3 linked regions of the Schizosaccharomyces pombe genome follow. The gene in region 2 interacts genetically with the main gene of each other region. Each region holds a gene or a part of one and is shown on either strand. Other genes may lie near its edges.

Region 1 (8,462 bases), on a different chromosome or scaffold from region 2:
CAGAGAATTCTTTTTTTATTGTCTTTTATGGTGACTATTGCAGCGTTGAACATGCTAGAATTCGCGTATTAGCATTAATGGATGAAATCAGAGGATTATCGGTAGTAGCTATTGCAACTTCTGTATCTTTTCAGCCAATTCTCGTTGGAAAAGCATTTTCTAGTACTGCCGGAATGAAGGCTACTGAATCAATTAATATTTATACATTACCGTTTTGCAGCGACTCAATCCCTCGGCTTCAAACCTTACCCGCCTTAAACTCAAGTAAAATAATTATTACAGGAGAAGAGGAAAAATTGCAAAGACTCGAAGAGGCGTTTTATTACGCAGAAGAACATCTAAAACTGTTTACTCACGTAACAGAAATTTCATTTGTTAAGCTTTTCGAATTTCTCGCTTACGAAATGGATGAGCTTCGGCTTATTATGGAAGAAAATTCTTCGTTTATTCGCTTTCCTGAGTATTTCAAAGAAGGAGGAGAAACGAGCCCAGAAAATTCAAAAGTCAAAATCTACTCATCTTCTATAGCGAATTCTGAAAAAACAGCACTCCGATTGGCAAAGCTTGCAAGTAAATATGTACAAGGAAAAACTCAGTTTGGAGTTGAAGACAACGAAGACTTTCTGAGAGTTGCTGGTTCTTGGAGAAGAGCGTCTACAATTGAAAAAGGAGTTTCAAGCTCTGAATTGTCCTCTATTGTATCCTCGACTGGCTCCATAGTGGAAACAAATGGAATAGGAGAAAAAATGTCATTCTCTCCTCTTAAGAAGCTAAGTATTCCACCAACAGAATTTGTAGCTCAAATTGCAATAATTTGCATGGCTTCTGGAGTCGAAATGCTCCTAAAAACCAATGGGATTGAATATTTCGGACAAGAAAACACCGTGCCTATAGCAATGGATAAAGCAAGCAAAATATTTTATAAATTTGGACAATCCCAATGGCACCAGATACTGCTTGAAGCCCCAACCAAGGATCAAGATTTCATATCCGGTAAAAAAAATGGAAAACTGGATAAGGTAAAGCAGCAATGCCGTTTCAACTTAAAGAATGGGGACATCTTGTTTTGTCCCCAGTCGACGAGTATATTCACGGTTGATATATATAGTGACGAATTGGAAAGAGTAATTAAAGGAATGAACACAATGTTGCTTGAATTTCCAGCTGAGATGCACTTTTACGTTCCAGAGGAGATTCACAAAAAACTCATTGGATTTCGAGGAGAGCAAATCCAACGTGTAACTAAACTTTATAATAGTTACATTGAATTCTCAACTACTCCTTTTGACTGTTACGGGCACAACGTGCTCATTCGCACACCATCAAAGTTCTCCGAAAATTTGTGGGCCGTCCGATCTTTATTCATTAAGACAGCTGAAGGATTAGGATACGACATCCCGAAGTATTTGTTTGCTAATTGAATTTTAAGTCAGAATCCAGTCATCGACCTGCCCATAGATCACCACACTTTCTCGTTATATTTTTTATGTCCATAACAGACACTCAAGCTGGTTATTAAATTCGGAAACTAAATTTTTTGAAAATCAAAAGTGCTCCACTGTATCAACTTTGATACACATCTTAAGTGCACAATATAATTTAATGAACGTGATCCACGCAGAATTTTGAAGCACATGACAAGTTTAAACTTTAAGCAGTTCAACGATTTGTGCAGGACGGCAACCACTGTTCGTATGCCTTTTTTATTTCTTATTTTGTTAATAAATTGTCATTGAAAACAAAAGATAAAACGTCGATAAACACAGCTAGATTGATATAATAACAACAAACATCTTTTCAGTAAAAAGAAGTAGAAACTGGCACTAACCGTTATTAATCAACTTGCTATACGCTGTGACATCTAACACTCTTTGACCAGTTAATTAGAATCGTATTTGATGAGAAAACGATATTGAGTTAATCCATCCACTTTCTTTGGAATGCATGATGATTAAATTAGTAAATTAAAGAAACAAAAAGGGATTACACAAGAGTTGTTAAACATAAAGACGTCGTTCGACTATAAAAAAAGACGTGTGAACCGTAATGCACCCTTTGCGGTTATTGGGTTTCTTCGGTTTTTTTTATACAAATTATATTACGCTTAACTGAACGAACTAATCAAGTAGCACAGAAACAAGCCACTCTTATTTTTTCTCAAGAGTCGAGCAATACTTCGTTCTCGCTGACAGGATTGCTAATAACACTAACGAAAGATGAACAGGGGGAATGTTGTATAGTTCATTTTTAGTCGTACAATAAATCTCGATAAATTTGTATAAGCAATATCATTTTAAATGTTTCAAAATCTCAAAATAATATGAAGGAAGCAACCATCACTTACACAAAGTATGAAACATAAGGAAACGATATAGAAAGAATCTGGAAAATAAGCAAATATTAATAATAGCTAGATCGAAACCTGGTGGTTTATTCGCTGCAAAGCCATAGCGGTAACAAAAGGAACAAATGCCAGTGTAGCCTTCTATATAAACAAAGGTCCTATTCTTTGACCTCCACCACAAACGGCTACGAGTTTAAAAGAGCTAGCAAATGTTGTAAAGCCTTGGTATTTTTATTTATTTTTTAATCAAGAACAAACTTTGAATAAAACCGTAAAGAGTTTTCTATCTTAGCTGCCGCTCATTTTTTGAGCTGGTGTAATTTACCTATCCATTCTCTTGGGAAACACCTTTCTTTTAATTTTCAGAATATTGATTTCCTTATGAATTCGGGTACGACACTTCATCTGGACAGACTTAGTTTGGAGACGCCATCCGAACGTACTTGTTTTTGTATTAAATGTTGGGAAGTATGTGAGGTTCAAAATTTAATCGCCGTGTCCGGAGAGCGGTCTTTTCACAAAACGAGACCCTGTCTTGAAATTGGACACTGCTCTTTTATTTTTTCCCAGCTGTAATGAACGGCATTTACTAACTTTTGCTCTAGAGTGTTCCCAGTACCTCTCAAGTTTGGTTCGGTGGGAAATGTTGGCATTCCGATTGGTATGATTGAAAATGCAAACGTTGGGATTTTTGGATCTTTTTTTTTTCTTATAGATTGAATAAAAAAATATAAAATGCTCCAAAGATTACCCTTGTTTGTGCTTCTTGTTGTTTTGATTTACTAATTAAGACGGTTTGCTAGTTTTAAATGTGTGAACTGCAACAAAAAATTAGACCCTTCCTCTGAAGATTTTTCTCAAGACGATCAAAAGCAAATATTCTGTAAATTATGTGTTGATATCTGCAACGGTTGCTCAACTCCTATTTGCGAGTTCAACGCAGTAAGCAATAGTCAAGCTAATCATCCTTGTTGCTCCAATTGTCGAGCTTTCATTAATTCAAATGCTTTTGGCAAGTTCAAAGGTCAACATTACTGCCTTCCTTGTTTGCGTAAACAAGATGAAGAGAATCAAAAGGCTGTTATGGAAAGCGCATCAGGGTTTATTCCTCTTAGGAATATCGCACAAACTGCGGAAAACACTTCTTTAACTGGTAAGTTTGTTGCTTATGTAGTATTTATTGATATTGTCTTTATGTTTCTAACTTTAATTTTAGGGCAAAACCAAGGCTTTCAAAACCCGCATTTTATAGCGTCTGATTCTCCATCCTCCGTATTATCTGGTCGAATGCAAAATACCAGCTCTCCTACAAACTCTCTCCGTCCTCAATTAAAAGTTCAAACTAATGGTTATGAAACACCTGGTGATATAAACTCCGCAAAATCTTACAAAGACATCCAAAAGGACTTCTTACTTAAACCCAAAAATTCTTTCGTTAAAACCTCTCCCTCTCCACTAGCTAATGGTCCCTCATTTCGTTCAGCTAATGCCTCTCCATTTGATTCGTGTGACTCTTTTCATTCTGGAAGTTCGATACCAATTGAACCAGTTTCTTCAAGGCAAAGCTCAGTAGTAAATAATAATAGCGTGCAGCAACCTGTTGCTTATCACGCCTTTGTTCAATCACCAACCGAAAATGGTACGCTTCCTCAACTTCCTAAAAATGAAAGCGTTGTTAATCCTCCTCCACTTCGCCGCTCTTCTACTATGAATTACAAATCTGTTTCGACAACAACATCACCATCTAAATATGGATATGTGTCTGGCAGAATAGCTCTATCTCCTATCCATTTAAGGGGTGCTCTTCGTGATGTCACAAATAAATGTAATTTAAAGGTTCCTAGAAATCGAAACAGTTTATCTAATCTTGACGAATATTACGTTAACGGATTGGAAAGCGACGAAACTCCTACAAAGGCTAGATTTCCTAGATATCCTACGGTATTTAATAAGTTAGATGACAAACGACTTAGTAGCGAACCAAACGGCTTGAAGAAAAGATTGACGAACTCTTCAAATTATGAGGCTTCCCCGCGGGCCAAAAGTTTAAATTTGTCGCAAGTTAGTTTGCATCAAGCATGTGAACCTGAATACAATCGAAGTTCTTTGGTTAGAGCAAGTGATGTGTTTACTTCAAACGTATTTGATGCTACAGAGGAAAGCGCAAATGAACTCGCCATTCGTATTTCAGAGCTTCAAGCTGAGGTTGGAACCTTATTGTTGGAAGCGACTTCGTTGGCTTCTATCATAGAGCAGCAGACTCCCGTGTCCCCCGAAGCTTTCAAGCAAGAGTTGGTTGCAGATTTAAATTATAGATTAGATTATTTACGGAAATCTTTTCAACCTGAACTGTCTACCTTACTTTTGAGGCGAGACGCTTTGTCTACGACTGTCTCTAAATTGCAAAACGCTTACAGCACTGTAATGGAAGAAACCGCATATCTGAATGTTAAGAACACAGAACTGGTAAGCCTTAACAATCAATTGGAGAGAGAATTGGCATACTTGAGGGAGCAGCAGCATAAGAAGCGAACTTCTTCCTCTTTCGGAATATTTAATAATGATAAAAAATCCAACCGAACGATTTCAACCCCGTCTCCGCGAGAATCGTTTTCGCGTCTACAAATGGTTGCATCTAGCCTTGGATTTAGACCCAAAGACAATAAAGACAAGGAGAGTGGAGGGTATAACAAACGGAACTCTAAAATAGATCTTAAGAAGTCATTTTCTAAACGGTTTCATTGGAAAAGAGATTCTCCTCACATGTCGAGTACTCCCAGTATTTCTGAAGAACATTTAGCTTCTGAAGAACAAGAGGATTTCGTTCCAGCGGTCGGTCACTGCAAACTTTGCGGTAAATACTCCAATGAGCTTAGAGCACATTATCAGGATTGCGTTAGTTCTACTATAGATCGTCAGTATCAATCTAAAAAAAGCGAATCTCCTGTTTGGGCTTTGAATCCTGACGACTTCGATCAAAACAGGCTAACACTCTTGAGAGTCCCGACGCTTATCGTTTCTTGTATAAATTTTATCGAGTCATACGGCATGGATTTTGAAGGTCTGTATCGCAAATCAGGGGCAACTTCTCAAATGAAAAAAATTGTTGCGTTACTAAGAAATGAAGATACGGTACTTGATCCAAGTGAGGATATTTCTGCTGTCACTTCTGTATTCAAGCAATATCTTCGCAACCTTCCTAATCCAATTATTACCTATGACCAATACTTTCCGTTCATCACAGCAGCAAATTGTGCCTCTTTCCAAGATAAATTAGACGGTTTTATAATGGTCATCAAAAGTCTTCCTCCAGCTCATGCTGAAATTTTGCAGCTCATTATTAGACATTTAGCAAGGGTTGCTGCATATAGTCATGCAAATCGAATGACATCCAAGAACCTTGCAGTAGTATTTTCCCCAACATTAATACGCGACCCCGATAATTCCAGAGACGTTATTGACATGACTGTTAAGAATTACAGTCTTGCGTTTTTGATAGATCATGTACATGAAGTCTTTGCCTAAATTCACACTATCCTTTAATAATTCGCTCTTTTGTTTTGCACGTTCCTTTATATTCTTTATTCGTCTTTTTTTGTTGTTTTAGTAGTTGTACCATAACTTTGGGCAGTTATATCGAGATTCCTTTTTGCATTTGCTAAGATAGTTTCATTTTTGGTCATTTTTAGATGTCATCGTGAAATCAGTGGCAGATGAGTGTTTTATGGATTTGGCGTATAGCTTCTTCATAATGCATTATCACTGCAGACTGACATCCATCGCTTTTATTTAATCATTTCCCTGTTTTAGTCTACTTGGCATTACTCACAATGCTAGGCTATGAATAAAATGCAATTGCATGTATAAAAAAGGAGAAATTTGTATTTTTTTTTAATTTTATTATGCTTTCAAGGATTTAAAGAAGCATTTTTTCCCAAGATCCCTAACTTAGGAAATGCTAGTGCAACGTATTGTGAGTAAGTGATTTTGTAGATATATCATGCCCATTATCTTAATGGAATTCTAAAAAACCAAAAGCAATTCCTATAAACAAAAATTATATACGTTATATGGTAAATTTTTTGAAGGGGGTTAAATAGAGTTTCGAACGTCTAACAAAAAACCAACTCCTGTTTTACTACCACTTTTTTTTGAGAAAAGAGGGTCTTTAAGCAGGATATTTTATTATCTATGTGAACAAAATTACGGAATTTTACTAATGGCAGATGTTATTAAACGATGCATTTTGGGCCCGACTGAAGCCGGCTGGTTCGTCGCAAAGTCTCAAATAAAAAAACCAGTTGACCAAAGACCGGTTATCCTAACCCATTGTAAGCTGCACAGCAAAATGCTAGAGCCAAAGGCGATTGTTTATAAAAAAAATTCATCTGCAATTCCTAAACGAGTTGACAACATTCTTCTTCGAAGTCAAAAGCCCAAACATATAGAATGCCTACTTGTGGACTCTAAAATCACCAAAACAAGGAGCCTTTTGAAAAGATTTGGAAGCTGTCTTGATGAAACTAGTACCATTGTACTTTTAAATCAAAGTGTTTCCTTGTGGGAGGATTGCTACAGTTTATTTCCAAAGACTGAAACCAGACCGCGAATATACCTTGGCAGGTTCCAAACTCTATTCAAATCTTTTCCATTTAATTTAATTAGTGATTCTTTCAGTTATCGTCTCAACCTTAGCAAACTTCCTCGTACACCTTTGGAGAAGTGTACGGTAGCTAGAGCCTGTAAACAGTTTCCGTTAAACCAAAGGTCCCCTTTACTTGACTTGATGGGTTCCTTTGAAAGGGACTATGTAAATTTTTCAAATTTTTCACAGATGCTTTCTGCACAGTTATGTGACTCTATGGCTTTTTTAATTCAAATTTTTCCTACTCCATTACTCAGGCAAAAAGCTGCGAATGCGTGGATCGAAGTACTTTCTAAATTACCATATTTCCATATTCTTGATAAATCATTTTTTTCTCCCCACTTGTTACTTCAAAGCTCTGAAAATCAAGCATGCAAATTTTTTAATATTGGTCCTCAAGTTTATTTCGATCCTAGGGAAAGATTGCTTCATGTTAAGGAGTTACTGAAGTTCGCTTTAAAGCATATTGACAGTAATGATTCTCTATTTACATTCTTAAAGCAAACTTGTTATACTTGTGATTCGCCTTATGCTAAAGTGTTTCAGCCCGATAAACAGTCGTTTCATAGCATAATTTCAAGAAAGCGTCTTGCTCATCTTGAAAAGGAATATTTTGATAAGGATGTATCCAAATTAGTGCTTTGATTTGATATGAGGTGAAAAATTGACCGAACATATTCCATCTACTGGTAATTTAACTGTTCAATCCGTTCTAATAAATTCACCATAATTTCGAGAGAAGGTTGTTTTCAATTTTTTATGTTAAAAAGAAAAAGCAAAAGAAATCTAGGGATAAAATATCGCTAAATTTAATTCTTAGCCTGATCCAAAAGCTACTGAAGACTACTGTATCTCAGATAAAGCATTGTCAATTATAACCACTCCCCCATGATGTTTCATTCTTAGTCACTCCTTTGTTTATCTTCGAGGATTCACTCATCTTTCAAATAATTTGAACACCTATACTTTGTTGAGATTGCAAACAGCCTCTATTACCTTTTTATTGATCATAGATCATTAACTTGAAAAATGTTAGTTATAAATAACATAAAATATTACTAAAATCATTTCATTCTCATCTTTTTTCACGGTTTTCCTTTTTAGGTAACAATTTATTGTCACTTGAAATTCATGAAACTCGAGTGTATAGAAGTTTTCATTTCTACAATTTAGGCGTTTCGAAGATTAAGTTGTTGTGGCATAGAATTTCTTTAAAAGATTACTTCTTAACTTTTAGATTGAAAAGTAAACCAACAAGCAAATCATTAGCCAAATATGTCTACAGCTGAACAATTATTTGGGGCCGAAGAAGAAGAGAAGTACGTTGACCAAGATTTGAGTGAAGATGAAGAAGATGAACGATTTTTAAAAGCTATTCGTTCCTCAAGATCAACAAAACCAGTTGTAGACGTTTTAAAGGTCAAATCTGAAAGCTCCGCCGATGAGCTTGAGGAACGAGATGCCCATCTTGAT
Region 2 (7,207 bases):
ACACTCGGGCATCTTTACTTTGGGACATTCTAGAATGCACCGCCAAAGCTAGCCTAGATAATGAAAGCTTATAAAGCTTAGGATTATCAAGTGGTGAATCCAAACCAAAGTTATATACCAGTGGTACTTTGGCAAGAACGTGAGTAGGACCAGTAGATGTGCTTGCACCAAAGCCATCAGCATCCTGAATGTCAAGAATAGTGGCATTGTGAAATGCAGAAATAGACCCAGGGAGAGCCAACATTGGTTGAGTAGGATCAAGGTTAACACAAATTGGATGTCGAGATTGTTTCAAAGCGTATGATTCTAAAATCTTCAAGACACTTGTTTTACCACAACTTCTTGGGCCAATGAGGCAAACACACGGTCCATATGAAGACTCATCATTTGCAGCGGCATTTTCGGCTTGTAATCTAAGGCCTTCCAAAGCAAAATGCAAATTTAGATATGTACTCATAGGAGTTTCTTCAGCAACATACTCAACGGACGGTTCACCTTCAACTTCTAAAGTACATCCCTGCCATGTATATATCGCTCCTTTAACACGAGTAAAATGATATGGTGGACCTAAAGCCAATTCAGTGCCAAAATATTCTGCATTTCCAGACACGAGCTAAACATGTTAGGAAAATACTTCCAAGAAAGAAAAAAAAAATTTAAAGAAAGAGTTAAATAAATTAAGTAAATATTTGCTAGAATCTGAAGTAGCAAAAGTAAGCTACTTCATGTCGTAAACAACAATATCACCACGAACTTACTCGAATTTGAATTGCCGGTTCGTCGACCTCAAATCTCCATTCACACTCTTTCGGAATGAAAATTTCTTTCATTTCTTAAAAATATAAATGGATCTAAGCAGCAGCTGAGACCGCTGACTGTTCAGGATGAAGACAAGAGAAGCTACGAAAACTATGGTATACTAACTCCATCTGAAGTGCAGATAACGAAGAATATGATACTTCGTAAAATGTTAGCTACTGAAGGGTAGTCAATATAACGATATGTGCCACAGTTGAGTTTTTATTATGATGCTATATTATCTTATACTGGACGACTTATGACAGAAAATAAGTATATTTTTAGGCCCATAAGTTCGTACAATATGTGATTCTGTTAAAGGGAAAGTTGTTTAAAATGCAAGATAGCATGCGTTAAAACTTACTGACCGAACCTGAAAAGGTCCACTTGTAATACTTCCTGTGCAAATAAGTGGATACAATGTGTGTATAATCCACTCTTCAAGCGAAAGAAATAAACATGGAAAAGAGAGTATAATACTAGCGTAACGAATAACTAATACCAAAAGTTCGTGATGAGCTTCCGCGTAGACATTTATAAGTTGTGCAATGCCTCAGTTGTTCTTATGCCTAATTTCTATTCACTATTAATAAACGCTCGATGTTTTATTTTGCTAGAAGCTTCACCACGCGATTAAACATGTAAACAACTATATACTCAATCTATCTGTCAATATAAAATCTACTGATAAAGGAGTACATAAACATAGATAAGATGCATAAATCCAAAAACTTTATGCTTAGAAATAAATGTAAACAAACGAATTTAACCAATGTTTTCAATGTAATTTTAAGTTAAAGTTTGCAGAAACAGAGAATTCTAGAAAGTAGGAAAACTGTAGAACTATCAGTTTCAGCTTTTACTAAACTCGTAAAGACTTACTTTTGCGTATTTTATAACCAATGTTAATAGTGAATTTGACGGACAAAAGTGAATTCTGCCACACCCTCCTCATATATGCCCTCAAGTCTGATATTTATTCAGTTGGAAGGCATAGCTAGTCTGTATGAATTTAGAATCTTGGAGTAAAGCCATTGCGGCACCTACCTTTTGGCGGGAACTATTGTGGCGATACGAACGGAACCCGAGTATCAGATGATGTAAAGTGTTAATATTCCTTAACAGGACCCAGAATCAAAACAACACCAGTACTACGCAGAGATCTACCTTTACCAACTGGATATAATATTGAATATGATACAACTAACCCATTCTTAATATGAGATTGTTTTCTATTATTCATAAATTTATGTTCATTTGCTTTGTAAAGTCCAATCACTTCATTTGTTTGGTTCCATGAAACAACAGCATGATTTGTGTACAAACATCTAAATACGTATATGCATTTGCCTCTCCAAATATCCCTGCAGATCCTATATCGACATGACATGATACTGTCAATCCTTTAGCTTGGAAAATGTATATAAAGGCACCCTACTCTCACCTTTTTTACCACTTTAAGCGTGCTTGAGACAATCGACTTTCAACAACTCATATCACCCTAACAAACTTTCAACGATGGAACACACTACCCAATGTAAGAGCAAACAAGGCAAGCCTTGCGACTGCCAATCCAAGTGCGGTTGCCAAGATTGCAAAGAGTCTTGTGGTTGCAAGAGCAGCGCTGTTGATAACTGCAAGTGCTCTTCTTGCAAATGTGCTTCGAAGTAATCTATATGAGATTTACGGACTGTAGTTCTGGCCTTGACGAAATATTTCATCCATAAAGCAATGTCCGCCTCGTCTTATTGTTTTTCGAAGCATCAGTCGAGAAAACAATACTATTATGGACCAACGAATCGCCCTGATGTCTTGATCCTACTACATTGCTACTTTTTTACAGAGCATTCTTACTTACAACTCAACTCTTAAGATATGATTGTTATGAATAATAATGAAATCATAAATTGATTTATTTTCAACAGCTATTTTTGCTTAGCGTAGAGTAAGGGCATCATCTTCTTGGAAAATCGTCCACTATTGTGGATTCTTTTCCACAATAAATTAGTTTTATGTGCAAAAAAAGATACTCTGTATCAATTCAACCAAAATTATGTCTTAATATTTTAACGGCACTAACGAACGTTTGTTTCTTCCTTCTATACCATTGCTAAGTTAAGCTCTGTAAAGCAAATGTATACATTATATTTGGGTAACTACGGAATCTATTTTTCATAGCGAACGCTAATAGCGCGTAATCCTTTAAACTGTTTAATACTCATTATAATATAATTACGATAGTGAACTACAATGCTACGCGACAAAATTCACTTCCAGAATTAACTGAAAGGTAACTTGAACATAGAAGTTGTAGATCTGTAATTTTATACTTGGTAAGAGGGAAATTAATAAGAGAGTCAGTTGGGAAAAATTTTAATACGTTTCCTTGTTTAAAATTGTTGAGTTTGTATTCTTCTAATATATTACTTTGCTGCTTGGACCAACTCTCATTGTTCTATATTAAGCCTCTTTTCCCGTCCTTTTCTTCCTTCATCTATCTTTCAGGGCTCAGCAGTTCAGTCACTATAATTGAGTGTCTGCTAGCTTCTTCGTTCTTTCTAATTACAACGTGCTAACAAATCGATTTTGTCTGTTTTGTGAGAATATTATATCCTGTATACTCATCTTTCATAAAAACGACAGCGTTTTCAAAGTGTTTGGAAATTAATTATTGATTCATTTACAATATATTGCTTTCTTTAAATCCGTGCCATTCTTTTTGCCTTTTCTTCATACATTCCTTTTGCTATCTCGGATCTTAATTCATATACCCTTACAGTAGGTTATCGCTTTAACAGTTTGTCTGTAATTATAATTTCCACTTGATCGTTTTATGAAAATTAAGTTAAATCTTTTTGTTGCAGGGAATTCTAATAGTTAGAATCTTTCTGAGATTATTGTAATATAATTTCAAATTTTGTTCTACTACCTTCTTTCTTTTTGTTCTAATTCCAGTCTCTATGTTAAAGGTATGCTTCAAAAAAAATTTTTTGTTAATTAATCAATTATTAACCATCTCTAGATTAAAAGGACTTGGAAAACTCATAGTCGAATTCTTGATAAAGATCCTTTTTCAATTGAACCCCCGAGAAAAGTTATTAGGGCCCTTTATGATTACACAGCTCGTAAAGCAACTGAAGTTTCATTTGCCAAGGGTGACTTTTTTCATGTTATAGGTCGTGAAAATGACAAGGCTTGGTACGAAGTTTGTAATCCCGCTGCAGGTACTCGTGGCTTTGTTCCAGTATCTCATTTTGAAGAGATAGGAAAAACGGTCAAATCGGAACGAGACAGTGATGGCAGCGGGCAAATATCATTTACAGACTTAACCACCAATTCTAGTACCACTAGGAGCTCAATCAGTGAACTCCATTCTGGTTCACAGCCGCTATTTGGAATTGTGCAATTCGATTTTGCTGCTGAACGACCAGATGAACTTGAAGCCAAGGCGGGTGAGGCTATTATAATTATTGCTCGGTCAAATCATGAGTGGTTAGTAGCCAAACCTATAGGACGATTAGGGGGTCCAGGTCTCATTCCTCTTTCATTTATACAACTTCGAGATTTAAAAACCGGAGCTGTGATAAAAGACGTTAGTGAGGCTGTTTTACGTATTTCTTGCATACCTCGTGTAGAGGATTGGAAACGTGCGGCTGCTGATTATAAAAAGAGTAGTATTCCTTTAGGGAAATTCAGTGATGGTGAAACTCAAACTATGCCTAGCTTAAGTCCAAGCACTGAAAATTTACAAATTAATAACGATGTTACATATCAAGCTGCTACTGACAATTCAAGCACTTTTCCTGGTTCCGTCGCTAACGAATTAACACCTCTGCAAACATTGGAGTCGCGTACGGCTAGCATCGCTTCTAAGAACAAGAAAGACATGTCTTCTGAACCTACCGTTGTTGCTGCAATGGTGGAAAACTACATGATTCGCGATGACCAATATTGGTATTTGGTCCGTGCCGTTATGAGTGATGGAAAACATCGAAACCTTTGTAGATATTACGAAGACTTTTTTAATTTCCAGACGAAGTTTTTAGAGTTATTTCCTAATGAAGCTGGTCGTGGGGACGAAAGACGAGTTATTCCTTACATGCCCGGTCCAGTTGATGACGTTAATGAATTAATATCTTCACAAAGGGCAATGGATTTAGATGTATATCTGAAGGAAATGTGCAGGCTTCCAGCTCGTTTACTCGAAAATGAACTCGTCAAACTTTTCTTCTTACCGCTTGACGGAGACGTTGAGTCCCCTCATCCAACTAGTACGATGCCTGAAGCCTTACCCAGAGAACCGTTAAGTTTCTCTTTGCCAGAGAAAGCTCCTGAAAAAGCTACTAATATCTCTATTCCCGAATCAGCTCCGACTACTGCAGGTTCGACATGCAAAGTTAAAGTCAGATTAGGAGATGAAACCTTTGCTTTGCGCGTTCCCTCTGATATCTCATTTGAAGATTTTTGTGAACGATTGACTAATAAACTCGGAGAATGTGAACATTTGTCATACAGAGATACGAACGCGAATAAAGTATTACCTCTTAATAATGTTGACGATTTACGGAAGGCATGTTCTCAAGAATCAGGAGTTTTACTTTTTGCAGAAAGACGGAGGTTTTGAGACTATGTATATTTAAAGATTTGGGTTTCTTATTACGTTCTTGCATTTTATTTTTTTTTCGTTTCGTTCTTTCATGGTTTACTTTTATTAATTTAATTTCATCGGTATAATAGCTTTCTTTATCTTTCTAATATATCTGTCTGTTTTTTCGAGAGGTATGCGTTTTTGGATAGTATTTAATCACGACCGAATAAGATGCAAAATGTTTATTCTCCTTATATATTAGCTTTCTTGGAGGTAAAATAAACAAAAAATCTCAACTATGCACTCCCTTTTTGTTCACAATCATTCAATTGAATATTTTCATTAGTTGTTTGATACTGTTCCTCCAAACATATATGTATTTGACGTATTTCAAAAGGGGATAAAGGTAAGCCTAAGTAGTAAAATAAAAACGTTTTTATTGCGAGAAGTTCAACATTTCTTGACAACGTCTTAATCAGCTGAATCAACGCAGATTTGGTAATACAATATCATGTCGCAGTAATAAATTGGTTCATATGAACCAGCTACAATATCGATCACGTATATTATATACAGCCAATTTGGTAAAGGCAATTTTGCAAACTACCTGTTGATTCATTAAACAATTAGATATTGGAAGCCGGAAACGCTTTCTTCTATACATTTACTTCATTTATGTATACATTATTTCTTACATTTAATGTGACCACAAGTAACATGCTGCATACATTTAATCCAATACTAAAGACGCTTTATCTTGTTAGTTTATCTAAAATATTGCTTTACTACATGCATACTTTCCTTAATGCTTATCAAATTTCAAAAATAAAAAATGCTCATATAATTTCCTTTTCCGTATACTTAGAATGGTGGCATCTAAAATAGCGGTAGAAAATAGTACCTGTTGAAGTGACAAGTAGTGAACGCCCAACCTTCGATATAGATCAAAAAACAATAAATTACAGCTGTGCAGTTGCTTTTATTTCAACATTGCAAAAACACATGTTAAATTAAAATTTTTTTTTAAAGATTCCCTCACTTTAATACTTCCTCCTTTTAATTTATACCTGTATGATTAATTCATGAGAACGTATTCTTTACATAGACATGGACGCTGAAGCCTTAAGGAATTTGTATTTGTCATCCATTCTCCCCAATGAATCTAAAACGGGTAATGAATCACCTGAAAAGAAATTTTCTTCTCCTGTGTTGTTGCAAAGGGCCAAAGTGATTCCTTTGAGACTTGAATATGAAGAAAGAAAGCTTCTTCATTTACTTACTGCTGCATTGGATGTGAGTGATTATACCGACAGCGTTGATACCCTAAGCTTTTCGTCGCCAGCGAAAAGACTGGCTCAGCAATTGAAAGGAATTACTGCAGTTTTGTCGGGTATCATGGTTGCTTATGATTATAAAGTTGGACAAGAATTGCTTGAGCATAAAAATTTTGAACAACATGCCGAATTTTTTAAAAAGATTTTTGAAATAGGTCGACGTTATAAAGTGCTAAATCCCAACCGACTGGGGTCTACTTATGGGAAATTGATGTACTTTGTGCAAGATTCTATGCGACCAGAAATTCAAGACGCACTTGGATTTAACCTCTTTAAACCCATTTTGACTGTCTATGAATTTTTGAATGAAAGGGATGCTTTGAACGCATTAGAAGATCCTTATGCCGAAATTGCTACTATGGAAATAGTCGCTGAAAATAGATCACGCTCAGCGATTCAAAAAGATATTAAAGCGAAAGAAAGAGCTGTTGAACATATTGCAAAAAAGTATTACAGCAGCAAAATTACAAAAGAGAAAGTACGATGG
Region 3 (6,899 bases), on a different chromosome or scaffold from region 2:
CCCCGATTGCCTGCTTTCAGAATTACCTCAATTTTTGTCACAAGAGAAGAAATTCTCAGTCCCTGTATATGTAGTATGGGGAGCTTGCGAAGATGTGCACGTTTTGGAAAAATTTCGTTCTGGAGAATATTCTATTCCAAACCTTAACATAGTGGACGAACTTCATTCCTACCTATTGCAAATTGGAGATATGAAAATCCGTTTACTTGGTCTTGGAGGTCCTTATGTCCCTTTTAAGCTTTTTGACAATGGAGACGGTAAAGGAACTATTGCTGGTGGCCAGGGTACTATGTGGACTACAATCCTTCAAATGGGTGAACTAATAGAAACCGCTAAGAGCCTGCTTGACAGAGAGGAGGCACGTATTTTTATTACGCATCATCCCATTGGAAGAGAAGGTGTTCTTTCTCAATTAGCTACTGCTTGCCAGGCTGACCTGACTTTATCCGCCGGTCTTCATTTTCGTTATGGAGCTAGCTACAATGAGTTTTGCGTAAATCATAGTCCTGAACATTATCTTCAAAAACTTTCGGCTGCCCGTGCACAGTTTATGGAAGTGTATGACACTGTTAAGGCTGAGGTTGAGAAGATGGTTACCCCTGAACAACATCATCTAATAAACAATGTTGTTCGCCTAGTCTCTCGCATGCCCGATGCAACTAACTCATATGCTATGAATAACATGCTTCCCGGCACTGCTTTTAAAAACCTATGGAACTTCAATTTATTAGATGCTTCCTTTGGATGGACTGTTTTTGTCGTCGAAAATGGGCATGTTCAAGTGGAAAGCAAATCTCATGGCTTTAATTTAGGCTATCGTCGCATGGCTTCACGTCGTAACGAAAATTATGCATCTCACATTCCACGCTCAACTTCGGAAAATACCGGTACCTATTATTACGCTAACAATAGGTTGGTGGAATCTCAAGCACAGTTTACCAAGAACAGAGAAGCTACGGCTACACCAACCGAAGAAGAACAGATTGAAGGGTACGATCAGGAACATACTGATGAGCTAGGAATGTCAAGAGCGAATACTACAGAAGAGTCGGCTGAGACTCATGAAGTAATCGAAGAGAAGTCGGGACCACCTGCTGCCGAGGAAGAACCCATTTCTGGCGTAGCAGAGAAGCCTAGTCCTAATGAAGAAGAACAACCAGCAATTGGAGGGAAAGAGGAAGTTGACGTTGAAGAGGTGACTAAGGGTACTGGAAATCTCGAGCTAGGTGAGACGACTACAGAGGTTACCATACTTGAACAAGAGAATGCTGCAAATGTTACAAGATCTCAAGCACAAGAAGGTAGAAGAACTGATATGCAGAAGGGCAACGATCGTGAATTCCGTCAATATAGTGGTGAGCAGCGTTATGAACGTTGTGGATTTCATATTACCCCTTGCAATTCTGAAGAGGAAGCCCGTTCTTACTTTAAGGACGGGACAGACAGCCTGATTACGAATATTCAAATTCGTACTTCACTCAATCGTTACAAAAGTCCCCAAGCTCCTCAAAACGTAAACCCCACTAACTATGCATATGTATTTGTTGAAAACCAGAATGCTGTTTCAAAGGCCCTTGGAAGCATCAAAGTTCCAGAAGGTGTGCGGGTGAATATCATGCGTGATGATTCGTACTATCGTCAAAATAGAGGATGGTATCGAAATAACCGGATGGAGGGACATGGAACTGGAATGCGTACCAATCGTGGACGTGGACGAGGCGGCCGAATGAACAGAATGCAGCATCCTCGTCCATTACAAAGCGGTGGAAGTGTCAATAAACAAAGCGCTGAACCTACTACCCATGGTTAATGATGAATATTTTTTGCACTGTTTTCAATGCTGTTTTAGAACTGATTTTTATACCATCTTTTCACCTTTTTACTGATGTTAATGCAAAAGTTTACCTCATGAATGATGAAGTTTTCATGAAATTTATCTGACGCACTCATTTACCTCAATAACTGCGAAGCCAAAATAACTGATATGACTCTTTTAAGATATCTTTTTCGAATTCGGTTGTCATTGACAAAAGGGTGCTTACTTTACTTTCTTTCATATCGACTTTGTTTAGAAATAATAAAGTGATTTTTGACAAGATTGATTCGCAGAAAACTATATAGTAAAAATAATTAATTACTTTATGCTAGAATAGCAGTTATTAGCCTTTTCTTCTTAGAAAAGATGTAAGTTTTAATAGATCAAATTCATTAATTAAATAACCAAGTTGAAATTTAAAACACTCACAAACAATAAGCTAGCTACTCAACTAAACAATTTTTTTTTGTTTTTGCAACACAAGGTCCCAACCCTTACCGTATGTTATTGCGGGATGGCCGTATTCCACAGTACAGTATTTACCCATTGCCAGTTCCGCCGATGAATTCTAAAACGCCCACTCTAGGAATAGTTTGTTCAGAGGGGACCATTTCCTTGTCTTTGGAAGAGGGTTTTGAGTTTGTTGGAGTTCCGTTAAGTGGTGAAGGTTTAAAGCTACGAGTTGAAGCTCTAGCTCCGTCAGAGCGTTTGCAGGAATTCCTCGACGATGAAGTAGCTTATCACCCTGAGGGTATGTTTCAAATTTGAAAGAAAATTTATATTAACCAATTTTACTATAGAAAATGTGCACAAGGTGGTCGGTTTATCCTCAGCTTGGCTGGAGTTAGATTCTGAAGACACACTAATCGCTGATCGATCAGAAGAAGTGTTATTAAAGGAAGCATCATATGCTTCTTATTGTGGGTTATCTTCAATCATCCTAAATGGTCCAACTTCACCAATGAACGTTATGCGTTATGCGAGAGCTGTATCTTCTGCTTTAAACTCAACAATGAATCTAAAATTCTTGGTACAATTGGCAATCGAAAGTGGTCATGAAGACTATTTTGAGACATGGAAAATGTGGGACACAATTCGCTCAGCATGTGGTTATCACCCTAGATTGAAGGTGGCCTTAGAGCTACCTCCCGCTTGTTCACCCCCAATCGAGCTAGTAAATCGATGGTACGCGGAACCGATAGAGATGATTACTATGTCATGTATGGCTTTCGTTCCTAATCCCAACGGCTATCCAGTACTTGGTCGTAAGTTGAGGGCTATTTATGCTTTATATCTACGTCTCAATCCTCGAATTTTACTTTGGGATAATGACGCACCCGAGAAAATAGGTGATTCCCCCGACTACAGCATATATATGAAGCACCTCTTTGATTCACAGCCTCCAGCTCCACTTGTAGAAGATCTCGCGGATTCTTATAAAGACTATCTGCAAGTTCCTCTTCAACCATTGAGCTACAATTTGGAAAACATTACTTATGAAATATTTGAGCGAGATCCCGTTAAGTACGCCCAGTATGAGCAAGCAATTTTTTCTGCGTTGATGGATAGAGACGAATCTTCTGTCACGCGAATTGCCGTTGTGGGTGCGGGAAGAGGTCCATTAGTCGACTGTGCTTTACGTGCGGCAATTTCTTCATCTAGAACGGTTGATATGATCGCCCTTGAGAAAAATCCTAACGCTTTTTCCATGCTATTGATGAGAAACCGCCAGGATTGGGCTGGCAAAGTTACTCTAGTATTTGGAGATATGAGAACATGGAATCCTGATTATAAAATTGACATCCTTGTTAGTGAACTTTTGGGTAGTATGGGAGACAATGAACTTAGTCCGGAGTGTCTAGATGGTGTACAACATGTGCTTGATGAAGAAACTGGGATATGCATTCCATCTTCTTACATCTCCTATGTTACTCCTATTATGTCTCCTAAGCTATGGTCTGAAGCTCGTAATATGAATGACCCAAATGCTTTTGAAAGACAGTACGTGGTTTTAATGAACTCATTTGACTTTTTGGCTGCAGATGATGAGTTCCGTTTTCAGTCCCTTTGGTCCTTCCATCACCCAAACAAAGATAGTGAGGTTTATACTAAAAACTTGCATAACAAACGTTTTGCTAGTGTTCGTTTTCAGGCCTCTAGTCCTGGAATCCTTCACGGTTTTGCAGGATATTTTGAAGCTACATTATATAAGGATATTTCTCTTTCAATTATGCCAGCAACTATGGAAGCGAAGTCTCCTGACATGTTTTCATGGTTCCCTATTTATATGCCCATTAAGGTAAGTTACTATATTTTACGTTGCACTGTATACTAATATTTCCTAGAAACCCATGTACGTCCCAGAAAACAGCCAATTGGAATTTCACATGTGGCGATTGACGGACGGTATGCGGGTTTGGTTTGAGTGGTGTGCCAATGCCTATCTGGTGTTGCGGAATGGAAGTCAAATCAAGTTGTCTTCTACGGAGGTCCACAACATTTCCGGAAAAGCGTTCTCGTGTAATATGTATTAAAAATTAATAGTCCTTCTTTTACATTATTGTTTATGGTTTAAAACGGGTCTTCAAACCATTTTTTTGGAGTTTTGATTATAAAAATTTTTTGGATTTAGTTAAATCTGAATTTAACAAAAGTCGATTAGTTTTAGGATAGCTGTTACAATCAAGATTTTGCTGAGAAAGAAGGAGTAATGCTCCTATACTTATTGTCTTAAACGATTTGCCAGAATTTTAACTATTGTTCTTAAACATTCCTTTTTACACAATTAATTAACAGGCAAATTCATTCAACTGAAATACCCTGTCATTTGCTTACTATACTAGTTAATTAATTTTCATTAATGTATTATATTAGTCCGAACTTGAAAATTAACAACGCATTGCGTTATGCCACTCAATTTTATATAACGAATGTTAAGATAGATGGTTTGTTGGAAAATTCTTTAACTGCTTGTAGTACGGAGTATGCACTGTGTTCTTCGCCATTTACAGAATTGTGGGAAGGGTTTATATAAGGGCGATTTTCGACTATGGAACCAGCTCAGAAGAAACTAAGGCAAGAGTCAAAGAACCCGTATTTGGCACACTTAAACAATGGTGATGATTCTGAGGAAGTTGTTTCTTCGAAAGGGTTGACGCGACGTGCTACGACTGTTGCACAAGCAGCTAAGGCTGAAGAAGGACCAAACAATTTTTTTAATGATAAACCTTTTAGTCAAAATTATTTTAAGATTTTGGAAACTCGAAGAGAGCTTCCTGTATACCAGCAAAGAGAAGAATTTCTCAAAATTTATCACGAGAATCAAATTATTGTTTTCGTTGGTGAAACTGGTTCTGGTAAAACAACACAAATTCCTCAGTTTGTTCTTTATGATGAATTGCCTCATTTAACAAATACACAAATTGCATGTACTCAACCACGTCGTGTTGCAGCTATGTCCGTTGCAAAACGTGTCGCTGACGAAATGGACGTTGACTTGGGCGAGGAAGTTGGTTACAACATTCGTTTTGAAGACTGTAGTGGACCTAACACTCTGTTAAAATATATGACAGATGGTATGCTTTTGCGTGAAGCCATGACAGACCATATGCTCTCTCGTTATTCTTGTATTATTCTTGATGAAGCACATGAGCGTACCTTGGCAACTGATATTTTGATGGGTCTAATGAAGCGTTTGGCTACACGTAGACCCGACCTTAAGATTATTGTCATGTCTGCAACTTTGGATGCTAAAAAGTTTCAAAAATACTTTTTTGATGCTCCCCTTTTAGCTGTTCCAGGTAGAACTTACCCTGTTGAAATTTATTATACCCAAGAACCTGAGCGCGATTATTTAGAAGCCGCGCTTCGTACAGTGCTTCAAATTCATGTTGAAGAGGGCCCCGGTGATATCTTAGTGTTCCTTACAGGTGAAGAAGAGATTGAAGATGCTTGCCGTAAGATTACTTTGGAAGCTGATGATCTTGTACGTGAAGGAGCCGCTGGTCCATTGAAGGTGTATCCACTTTATGGTTCTTTACCGCCAAATCAACAGCAACGTATATTCGAACCAACTCCGGAAGATACAAAATCGGGTTACGGCCGTAAAGTAGTTATATCTACAAACATCGCAGAAACATCCTTAACTATCGATGGTATCGTTTATGTGGTGGATCCTGGTTTTAGTAAACAAAAAATTTATAATCCCCGAATCCGAGTTGAGTCTTTGCTTGTAAGTCCTATTAGCAAAGCCAGTGCACAACAGCGTGCTGGTCGTGCTGGACGTACTCGACCTGGTAAATGTTTCCGCCTTTACACAGAGGAAGCTTTTCGCAAAGAATTGATTGAGCAAACGTATCCTGAGATTTTACGCAGCAATCTCTCGAGTACTGTCTTAGAATTGAAGAAACTAGGTATTGATGACCTCGTTCATTTTGATTATATGGATCCACCCGCTCCGGAGACTATGATGCGTGCTTTAGAAGAGCTGAACTATTTGAACTGTCTGGACGATAATGGCGACTTGACTCCTTTAGGTCGTAAAGCGTCTGAATTCCCACTTGATCCAAATTTGGCTGTAATGCTTATCAGAAGTCCAGAGTTTTATTGCTCAAACGAAGTTTTATCTTTAACAGCTCTTTTATCTGTTCCTAATGTTTTCGTCAGACCTAACTCTGCAAGGAAATTAGCGGATGAGATGCGACAACAATTTACTCATCCTGATGGTGATCACTTGACCTTATTGAACGTTTATCATGCTTATAAATCAGGTGAAGGGACTGCTGACTGGTGTTGGAATCATTTCTTGTCGCATAGAGCGCTAATCAGTGCTGACAATGTAAGAAAACAATTGCGGAGGACAATGGAACGTCAAGAGGTTGAACTCATATCTACCCCTTTTGATGACAAAAACTACTATGTAAATATCCGCCGTGCTCTTGTTAGTGGATTTTTCATGCAAGTTGCCAAAAAGTCTGCAAATGGTAAAAACTATGTGACTATGAAAGATAATCAAGTGGTTTCACTGCATCCTTCATGTGGTTTGTCAGTGACTCCAGAGTGGGTGGTTTATAATGAATTTGTA

What was found. A genetic interaction does not mean that the proteins touch.
Region 1: of scd2 (region 2) and rga4, changing one enhances a phenotype caused by changing the other (phenotypic enhancement), as found in Schizosaccharomyces pombe (one study listed by BioGRID).
Region 3: of scd2 (region 2) and skb1, changing one suppresses a phenotype caused by changing the other (phenotypic suppression), as found in Schizosaccharomyces pombe (one study listed by BioGRID).

Annotation. Positions count from the first base shown.
Region 1 is NC_003423.3:1,836,898-1,845,359, forward strand, and holds rga4 (Rho-type GTPase-activating protein Rga4), read left to right. Parts: upstream 1-2,518; 5' UTR 2,519-2,725; coding exon 2,726-2,812; exon of another isoform or gene 2,813-2,949; coding exon 2,950-3,005; exon of another isoform or gene 3,006-3,147; coding exon 3,148-3,497; exon of another isoform or gene 3,498-3,560; coding exon 3,561-5,869; 3' UTR 5,870-6,290; downstream 6,291-8,462. Other genes in the region: SPOM_SPBC28E12.02 (BICC1 family RNA-binding protein), read left to right, coding at 1-1,421; protein Cbp7, read left to right, coding at 6,564-7,634; U3 snoRNP-associated protein Esf2, read left to right, coding at 8,265-8,462. UniProt on the Schizosaccharomyces pombe protein: GTPase-activating protein for Rho-type proteins.
Region 2 is NC_003424.3:2,379,414-2,386,620, forward strand, and holds scd2 (Cdc42 GTPase complex scaffold subunit Scd2), read left to right. Parts: upstream 1-3,090; 5' UTR 3,091-3,758; coding exon 3,759-3,767; exon of another isoform or gene 3,768-3,820; coding exon 3,821-5,422; 3' UTR 5,423-5,740; downstream 5,741-7,207. Other genes in the region: SPOM_SPAC22H10.05C (cleavage and polyadenylation specificity factor complex subunit), read right to left, coding at 1-613, 759-830; SPOM_SPAC22H10.06C (uncharacterized protein), read right to left, coding at 1,907-2,188; metallothionein Zym1, read left to right, coding at 2,317-2,469; SPOM_SPAC22H10.08 (uncharacterized protein), read left to right, coding at 6,494-7,207. UniProt on the Schizosaccharomyces pombe protein: Required for mating and morphogenesis. Interacts directly with scd1 and with cdc42. May bridge and facilitate scd1 and cdc42 interactions.
Region 3 is NC_003423.3:2,274,898-2,281,796, forward strand, and holds skb1 (protein arginine N-methyltransferase Skb1), read left to right. Parts: upstream 1-2,357; 5' UTR 2,358-2,377; coding exon 2,378-2,567; exon of another isoform or gene 2,568-2,616; coding exon 2,617-4,115; exon of another isoform or gene 4,116-4,161; coding exon 4,162-4,350; 3' UTR 4,351-4,727; downstream 4,728-6,899. Other genes in the region: SPOM_SPBC16H5.12C (uncharacterized protein), read left to right, coding at 1-1,810; ATP-dependent RNA helicase Prp43, read left to right, coding at 4,866-6,899. UniProt on the Schizosaccharomyces pombe protein: S-adenosyl-L-methionine-dependent protein-arginine N-methyltransferase that can catalyze both the mono- and symmetric (type II) dimethylation of the guanidino nitrogens of arginine residues in target proteins.